Linked DNA regions of Sus scrofa. The protein of the gene in region 2 purifies or fractionates together with the protein of the main gene of each other region. This does not show direct contact. Links are inferred from orthologs where the notes say so. Each region holds a gene or a part of one and is shown on either strand. Other genes may lie near its edges.

What was found. Proteins that work in one complex are often made in the same cells at the same time.
Region 1: the proteins of TACC3 (region 2) and VASP purify together in Homo sapiens (co-immunoprecipitation; 3 studies listed by BioGRID and IntAct, with this or other methods). This does not show direct contact. The link is inferred for Sus scrofa from reciprocal best matches to the Homo sapiens genes TACC3 and VASP.

Annotation. Positions count from the first base shown.
Region 1 is NC_010448.4:51,872,453-51,876,195, reverse strand, and holds the start of VASP (vasodilator-stimulated phosphoprotein), read right to left. Parts: upstream 2,522-3,743; 5' UTR 2,198-2,521; coding exon of another isoform or gene 2,193-2,197; intron 1,422-2,192; exon of another isoform or gene 1,119-1,421; intron 812-1,118; exon of another isoform or gene 718-811; intron 1-717. UniProt on the Homo sapiens protein: Ena/VASP proteins are actin-associated proteins involved in a range of processes dependent on cytoskeleton remodeling and cell polarity such as axon guidance, lamellipodial and filopodial dynamics, platelet activation and cell migration.
Region 2 is NC_010450.4:824,391-828,133, forward strand, and holds the start of TACC3 (transforming acidic coiled-coil-containing protein 3), read left to right. Parts: upstream 1-1,042; 5' UTR 1,043-1,461; exon of another isoform or gene 1,462-1,843; intron 1,844-2,415; exon of another isoform or gene 2,416-2,665; intron 2,666-3,165; 5' UTR 3,166-3,166; coding exon 3,167-3,328; intron 3,329-3,482; coding exon 3,483-3,625; intron 3,626-3,743. Other genes in the region: TMEM129 (E3 ubiquitin-protein ligase TM129), read right to left, coding at 588-792. UniProt on the Homo sapiens protein: Plays a role in the microtubule-dependent coupling of the nucleus and the centrosome. Involved in the processes that regulate centrosome-mediated interkinetic nuclear migration (INM) of neural progenitors.

The DNA.
Region 1 (3,743 bases), on a different chromosome or scaffold from region 2:
ATCCCAGCTCAGAATCCCGGACACAGCAGACACTCAACAAATATTTGTCAAACCAAGAGAAAAAGAACTGTATCTTGTAATTTTCCATCTCAACATCCTCCCTTCCAACTGCCCCCAAGACTGTCCCCAGCCAAACCAGCCAGAAGTCAGAGGAGCCCAGCCCCCTCCCCTTCCTCAGTAGTGCTTAGGAATTTCTGAGCGATCTTGGGCCAGGTCTTTCTCTCTTTGAGCCTCAGTTTCCCCAGCTGCCCCCCACCCCCATACAGGGGCATGGGTCCTTTGGAATCCTGGCAGGGGGAGAAGGGGCCCGGCCCAGGAAGTCGGGTGTGGTCACAGGCAGGGAAGACCCCTCTCGAGGTGGGAGTAACCCTCTGGTGGGACAGGCCTCGGCTCGACTTCTGCCCACCCCCCAGGAGGTGGGAGGTTTGGCCGAGGCCAGCAGTCGGGGGCCTTGCGGGAGGGCGAGGGCCTCCGGGACTGGGGGAGGGGGGCGGGAGGCCCAGACATTGCTCCTGCCCTTTTACGGTCTCAGTGAGTGAGGCAGCACTAACTCGGACATCCGCCATCCGCCTTCCACGGTGCCTGGGACCGGAAACGCGGCGGGGGGGGGGGGGAGGCAAGGGGCGGGGCTGGGGGGCTGGGGGAGAGGAGAGTCCCCCGGGGAGGAAGGTGAAGGAACGGAGCCTGGCTCCCGAAACCTGCCCCCTCGGGGCGTACCTTGAAGGGATGTTGCTGTGAGCAGGGGCAGGCTAGGCAGGAAGTCTCGTGCGGGTCTGCGGGTGCTCCCTTGCTCCAAATTTTCCAACAATCCCTTTACCGCAGAAGGAACAAACGTGGGAATGGGGGTTCTCTGATGGCCGTAAAAAGCAATGCCACCCTGATGTGAGAGGGCAGGGGTACGGGGAATGTGGGGGAAGTGGGAGGATGTGGGCAGCAGGGGGTTAATCCCCAGCCGTCCTCGGGGCCTCCCCCTCAACCTGGGGGCTCTGGGGCAGGAAGTCCCTGCGAGAGTAGAGGAAGGGAGGTAGTATTGTCAGGCTCAAGGGAGAGATTATGGGGGGCCAGGGGGAGGGGAGAATAGGGGGGCCTAGTCGGGTCCCCCAGCCAACACCGGCCCCGCCCTCAGGTGAGCCCAGGAGTTTTGAACGAAGCCCAGGAAAGACAAAATCCCTGGGTGCCTTGGGCCCCCGGTCCCCAGGATTAAATTCCTGGGAAGATAGCTAGAACTCTTTGGGAAGCCCGGCTCCCAGGGGAAGAGGGCTATGACCTTGAAGCTTCCCAACGCCCCCTCCAACAACCGCACAACTCCGGACCGCTGGGGAAGGGGGGGCGATGTGGAGAGAAGGGGGAGGCGCTGTGGTGGGGAAAGCAGCCGGCCCACGGCGCTCCTTGCCCGCCCCCCACACCAGCTGTCTCGACAGGTGAGTCAGGAAGACAAAGGCCCCCCTTCCCCCAGCTGCCGCGCCCCCTCCCTCCCAAGGGCCCGCGCAGGTGGGAAAAGGGGCTGCCCCTCTGGCACGGGGCCGGGGTGCCGCCCTCGGCCCTAGGCACAGCCCGTTTTAAGCAAATTGTGAGTGGGAAGCGGCGGGGAGTCCGAACCAGATCCTCGAGGCTGCATCTGGGTCGGTGGATCTGTCCGCACCAGCCTCCTCCACAGGAGGACGAGAACCCCTAAATTTAGGGGGTTAAGAGCCCTCGAAGTTAAGGGGCAAAGTCCTCTTGGGAAGACGTTTCCCGGCACCATGTAAAGAGGGACCCCGAAAGCCAAGATCTTCGTTTCAATCTCTCTTCCAGGTCCCAGGGACCTCCAAACTGGCCCCCCCATAATCTCTCCTGGGGCCGGCTAAGATTTGGGGGGAGTCTGAGCCCTGCCTAAATCCCAGCCTCCCGGCCGGGAGTACCTAACAACTTAGAAGTCCTCCGAAAAAGTCTTTTAAAAATTCGGGAGTCCTCGGAGCGCCCCCAAATCTGAGGGCTCCCGGGAGAACCTCACCGGCACCACCCGGAGCCTTGGGAATCAAGGGAAAGTGATCAATATTTGGAGCCCGTCCAAGGGGGATCGGCCTCAAATTCGAGGCTCCCAGTGCCCTGTCCCTAAATTCCAGCCCGGAGCAAGCTGGGGGGAGGGGGACAAAGGCGGGGCGGGATCCCGCGCCGGGCAGGGAAGGGTCTAGAGGCAGTTCGAGGCTCACCTCATGGCTGCTCGGCTGGCGGGCGGAGCGCCCACGGGGTAGGTGCTCCCGGGGCGCCCCTGGCTCGAGGTTCAGGGGTTCGGGGCTGGCTCCAGGTTCTGCTCAGTCTCCCCCAGGGTCCCGCCCCATAGAGTCCGGCTTCCTGGGGGGAACGTGGACAGGGCCGGCGCGGATCCTCAGGCGCCTCCTCCCTTTGGGGAGCTGATCCGGGGTCCTTGCGGCAGAAAGGGGGTGCGGCGTCCCCTCCCCGGCGCGCCCCCTCAGCTGGCGGCGGCTACAATGTTACTCTTACTACTGTACTTCTCTTCGCTACATTTCGTTCCAAAATTCCACTCCCCGCACCCACAATGCCCTGCGCCTTAAAGGGGCCGCGGACACCTCCAGGCTGTGGGATTGGAGGGTGGAGGGTGCTTAAAAGGGCAACGCGGAACCTTAGACTTCCGCTATTTCCCTCTTCCCCAACGTTATTGCACAGCGATGCACTCTGGGGAGTCACCCCCAAATTAGGGGGGCAAGCTTGTTGGGGGGGAAGGGATCCTTCCTTCATCCTTAGTTCTCTCTCATGATAGAAATTCTCTGGGGACTCTCAGTGGGGGCACAATCTCTTCTCACCCTCCCCATCGACTTCTCCATTTCTTTACATTCTACTCAGTGTGGGGGGCGAGAAGGACCCTCTGGTTAAGCATAGATTCAAATTTTCTCCCTTAAATCCTACCTTCGGACCTCCCCCAACGTCTCTCTCCTCCGCCCGTTTATGAAGCTCTACTAAGGGGTGCACCCCCCCCTCCGAGGAGGGGGATGGGTGAGGAGGGGCCCCACCTCCTTCGTTGCCGCCCCCCCCACCGCGCCCGCCCAGGGAAGGTGAGGAGGAAGTGGGCCGAGGGGGCGCGGCTGGCCGCTGACTCACAGCCGCAGGGTGTGGGGGGGGGCGGGGGGAGGGGAGGTGCGGTGCAGGACCTGAGTGGGAATGGGACTCCTGGTCCCGCTGCGAATAAGGCCCACGACCCCCTCCCCACGCACTCCCCGCCGTGACTCAGTTTCGTCGGCGGATGATGGCGGGATCATCCAACAATCCGAGGACACGGAGGTGGGGGGACTCTCCCTAGCGCCTGATCCCGCGAGCCCCCACCCCCACGCGCCAGCTTGGGGCTGAGTCCCTACACCCTTCCCGGGCGTCCGCAGCGGGTCCCTCAGGCTCCGCCCCACGTGACGTCACCAACACGGTCATGCCCCTCCCGTAGAGCGCCACCTGGCCTGGGTTAGATGCCCTAGGCTGGTGTGGGAGCCTGGGAAATCATCAGTTCCACTTTTCGAAATGGGTAAACTGAGGTCTGGAGGCAGGTTGTAAGTATGGGCTCAGCATTCTTGCCTGAGCCTCCTAAAACTCCACTGGTGCCTGGGTGCAAGGTATGCGTGTAAAACAAACAGCTCAGGGCAGAGCCGAGGAGGTGAGGAAGTTAACCTTCCCAGCCTTTTTCCAAGCTGAATCTGCTGCCTGGGTGCCGTCCTGACCTTCACGTCATTTCTAGGCTGTGCTCTGTCGTTAAACCT
Region 2 (3,743 bases):
CCAGCTGGAAACCCCTCCCATGTCCACCATGGCAGCTCCAGACAGGGCTGGCCACCGCCACCCGCCCTCCCCCACTTACGTGTGAGCCCAAGTTCTCCAGAGATTCCGCGCTTAGGACCCCACTCTCCAACCAGTCAGCCTCCCAGAGGCCAGTTAGCACCTGGCTCACCTGCCCAGCACAGCCCCTGGCAACACCTGAGCTTCCTGGCCGCACACACGCCTCTCCCCGCCCCGCACCTGAGACGCTCTCAACTGCAGTCGCCCTCCCTGCCTGCCCTTCCTGCACCCCTCTTCCAAGGACTGGGGCCGGCCACCTCTGTTGGCATCATGCCCCTTTCCTGGGAGCTGCCCCTAGGTGACAGCTCCCCACCTGCCCCAGTGACCAGAGCATCCTCTCCCCCAGGGTTCTGCTGCCCGCAAGAGGCAGCTGCGACCAGCACCCTCCTCCTCGCACGGGGCGCTTAGCCCACGGCCTCGGCTCTGCGGCCCGCGCGCGCTCCCCCGTCTCTTCCCCCCTGGGGTCCGGGAGATGGGCCTCCAGCGCCCCCCCCCCGCCCCCAGCTCCGCCGCGCGCCCCGCGAGCTCACCGAGCGGCAGCAGCGAGTGGCACAGCAGCGTGGCGGCCGTGCGGCGCAGGTGGTAGGGCACGAAGGCGGCGTCCTCGCTGCCCAGCCAGCCCGACAGCAGGTTCTGCACCGTGAGCCCGGCCGAGTGGAACTCGGTGGGGGTGAACACGAAGCATACGGCGAACACCAGGTAGGCCAGCGTGAAGGTGACCTCGGGGCTGTCCATCGCGCCGCCGTAGCCGCCGGGAAGCCGTCCGGGCGAGGCCCCCCGCCCCGGGGCGCAAAACAGGCCTCAGCGTCCGCGTCCGGTAGGCGCCGGGGCCGCGCGGGGCGCCCTGGGACGTGTAGTCCCCACCCTCAGGCCGCTCGCGGGGCGCTCTGGGAAATGAAGTTCCAGGACCCCGCTCGCGGCCAGACGTCCTGAGCCGCCGCGGCAGTCCTCGCGAGGGTTTGGAGCCTCCCCACGACCCGCCCTGAGGGCGGCGCTGAACTTGGCTCCATTCCACAGCTGGGAATACAGACTCGGGCGAGCAGCTCTCAGGCCCTGGGCCTTTCCGCGCAGCCCAGGCGCGTCTGCGCAGAGCCCGAGATTCCTGGGCGACGGCGGGCCCCGCACTCACCGCCCGCTCTCGAGCCGCGTTTCACCTTCGTCTGCTGGACGAGCCTGGGCTACCGAGAATTCCAGGGGCCGCCCTGCCTAGCGTGCCGCCTCGCCCGGAAGCGGAAGCCGCCTCTTGGGCGCAGCCTCCCATTGGCCTTCGACGCCCTGTGTCCCGCCCCGGCCACGCGCTGATTGGCCGTACGCGCCAACCGTCGATATTTGAATCGGCGGCGGGCAGCCGGGCTCCCGGACACGGCGCCTCCCGCTCCTTCGGTTCCGCGCAGCGGCCGGCAGGTAAGACGGCGACCGGGTCCGGGCTCGGGGCTCCGTTCCTGCCTCTTCTGGCCTGTCCTCGGGCCTTAGCCTGTCGCAGTGGCGGCCTGGACACGGATCTCTGACTCCTCCCGCGGCGCCGCGGTGCCCACAGTCGGCTCTCCTCGCCCCCCCCACCTCGGGGCGCCCCCTTCCCCGGGGTCCCATCTCGCCCGCACTCATCCAGCCGGCCCGGCCGCAGCTGGCAGCGGAGCCGGTGGGCTCTCGGCCCTGCCTCCCGAGGACGCCTAGTGGCCCCTATATCGCCCTCCACGAGGACCCTCCGGCCGGTCGCACCGGTCTTCCCTCTCCCCGGTGACCTCGCCCAGCCCCCGGCCCCCTGTGGCGGTGACCCGCACTGGCACTCCGCCCCTGACCAGCCTCCGCCTTGCTGCCCGGCCCCTCCTCCCGGCGCAGCCCCACCTGTGAGTCATCACCGACCCCGCGGCACCTGCAGCAGAAACCTGGGCTCCAGCGCTGATTCTCAAGAGCCTGCCGGCAGGCCCTCGACGCCAGTCCTCCTCCGCGCTGGCCTCGCCCCTTCTGCTCAGGAGCCGCCTCCCTGGCCCCCCGTCATTAGTAGGAGCCAAACCCGTAGAGGCTGCCATTGTCGCACCCCCACCTTCCCCAGGTGAAGGGATCCCACAGAAAGGGTGCTCTAAGTCTCCCTCCTGTGGCCCAGGGCCCTCCGGCCCCTCCCCGTTTCACCCCGTCCCCCAGGCCAAACCCAGTAGTCCCCCTTGACTTAGGCTTCCCTTTCCCACCTCCCCACGCCGCGTGTGGGCCTGCTGGCCAAGCCAGGGCTGACCGCTCCCCCCTGGCCACAGACAAGAGCCTCTGGCTCCCTGCTTCCCTCCTCCCGCTCCCTGCTCCACACGCAGCACCCAACCCCACACCCTCCAGGCGGCTCATCCCCCTGACCTCACCTCGTTCCAGGGCACCCGTGTTCCTTAGGCCCCAGCCGTTTTGCTCTTGCAGCTGAGGTCCCCGGGGCCCCCACCCCCAGCAGGTACCTGTGCTGCCCAGTTTTCTGGTGACTCCTAAGTTGGGAATGCCGGGTAGGTGACCATGATGAATTTGGGAAGGAGGAGTAGGACTATTCTAGAACCTCGTGGACCCGACCGGAGGCCCCTGGTGTGTTTCTAGTCTCCAGACCCTGGTGTAGAAGCACCTCAACTCCCCACAGGTGATCCTGCACGTGCCGCTTGTTACCATCCCTGCTCCTCCTCTGAGCCTTGGCCCTCCTGGCGCCCCCGTCGGTGGGCAGAGAGCCAGCTGCCCTGCCCTTCTGCTTTTCTGCCCTCCTCCATCTCGGCTGCCTGCTCCAGCCCCAGTGCCAAGGCCTCTGCCAGTTTTGTCACAGATCAGCCCTTATCTGTCTCCCAACTTTTACCCACAAAGTTCCAGTTATTTCGAGGACCTGTTCTTCCTTCTTGCCCTGTGGGCTGAGAGCCCTCCTAGCTCTTTCTCCCGGGAGGGGCAGCTCCCCCCAGAACGGGATAAGGACACGCTCTGGCAGAGGACATGCTGCCTGCGGTGTCTCACACACACACACACACGCCCGTGCAGGAAGGGGACGTCCACCCTGCGGCACCGTGGGGTCAGCTCGCTTGTCTTCACATATGTGCGTCTAGACAACAGGGTGTCCCCGCCCTCCTCTTGACTCACAACTCTCTGCTTTCCCAGAATGAGTCTGCACGTCTTCAGTGATGAAAATGTCACTGGTGACAGAAGTACAGAAAATTGCGACTTCCTGTTTTCACCACTGGAACTTACCGGAAGATCATCTGTCCTCCGGCTGTCCCAGAAAGAAAATGTGCCGCCCAAGAGCACAGCCAAAGCCACGAAGGTGAGCCCCGCAGATCTCCTGGGGGTCACACGTGCAGTCCCGGGGCCTGCTTTCCCGGGGCCTTAGCCAGCTGGCCGGGCGGGGCCCGGTGGCTTCTAGTGTGGTGGGGGAAGGTGTGAGTTATTGGACGAGTGCCTTCCTGTCTCCCCGACAGGTGACTTTTCAGACACCTCTGCGGGATCCACAGACTCACCGGATCTTAAGTCCCAGCATGGGCAGCAAGCTGGACGCTTCTTCAGCTCTAGGGGACACCGTTGGACTAGAAAGCTCTCATCAAGGCCGGGCCCGGAAAGAGAGGTAAGTGTTGGCGCTGTTTGGCAACCCGCAATCGGTAACCTCTCCGGCGGACTCCGCAGGAAAACGTCCGAGCTGGTTCCTCCTGGTCTCTGCTCCAAGTTTGTGTGGGAGTTGGAAG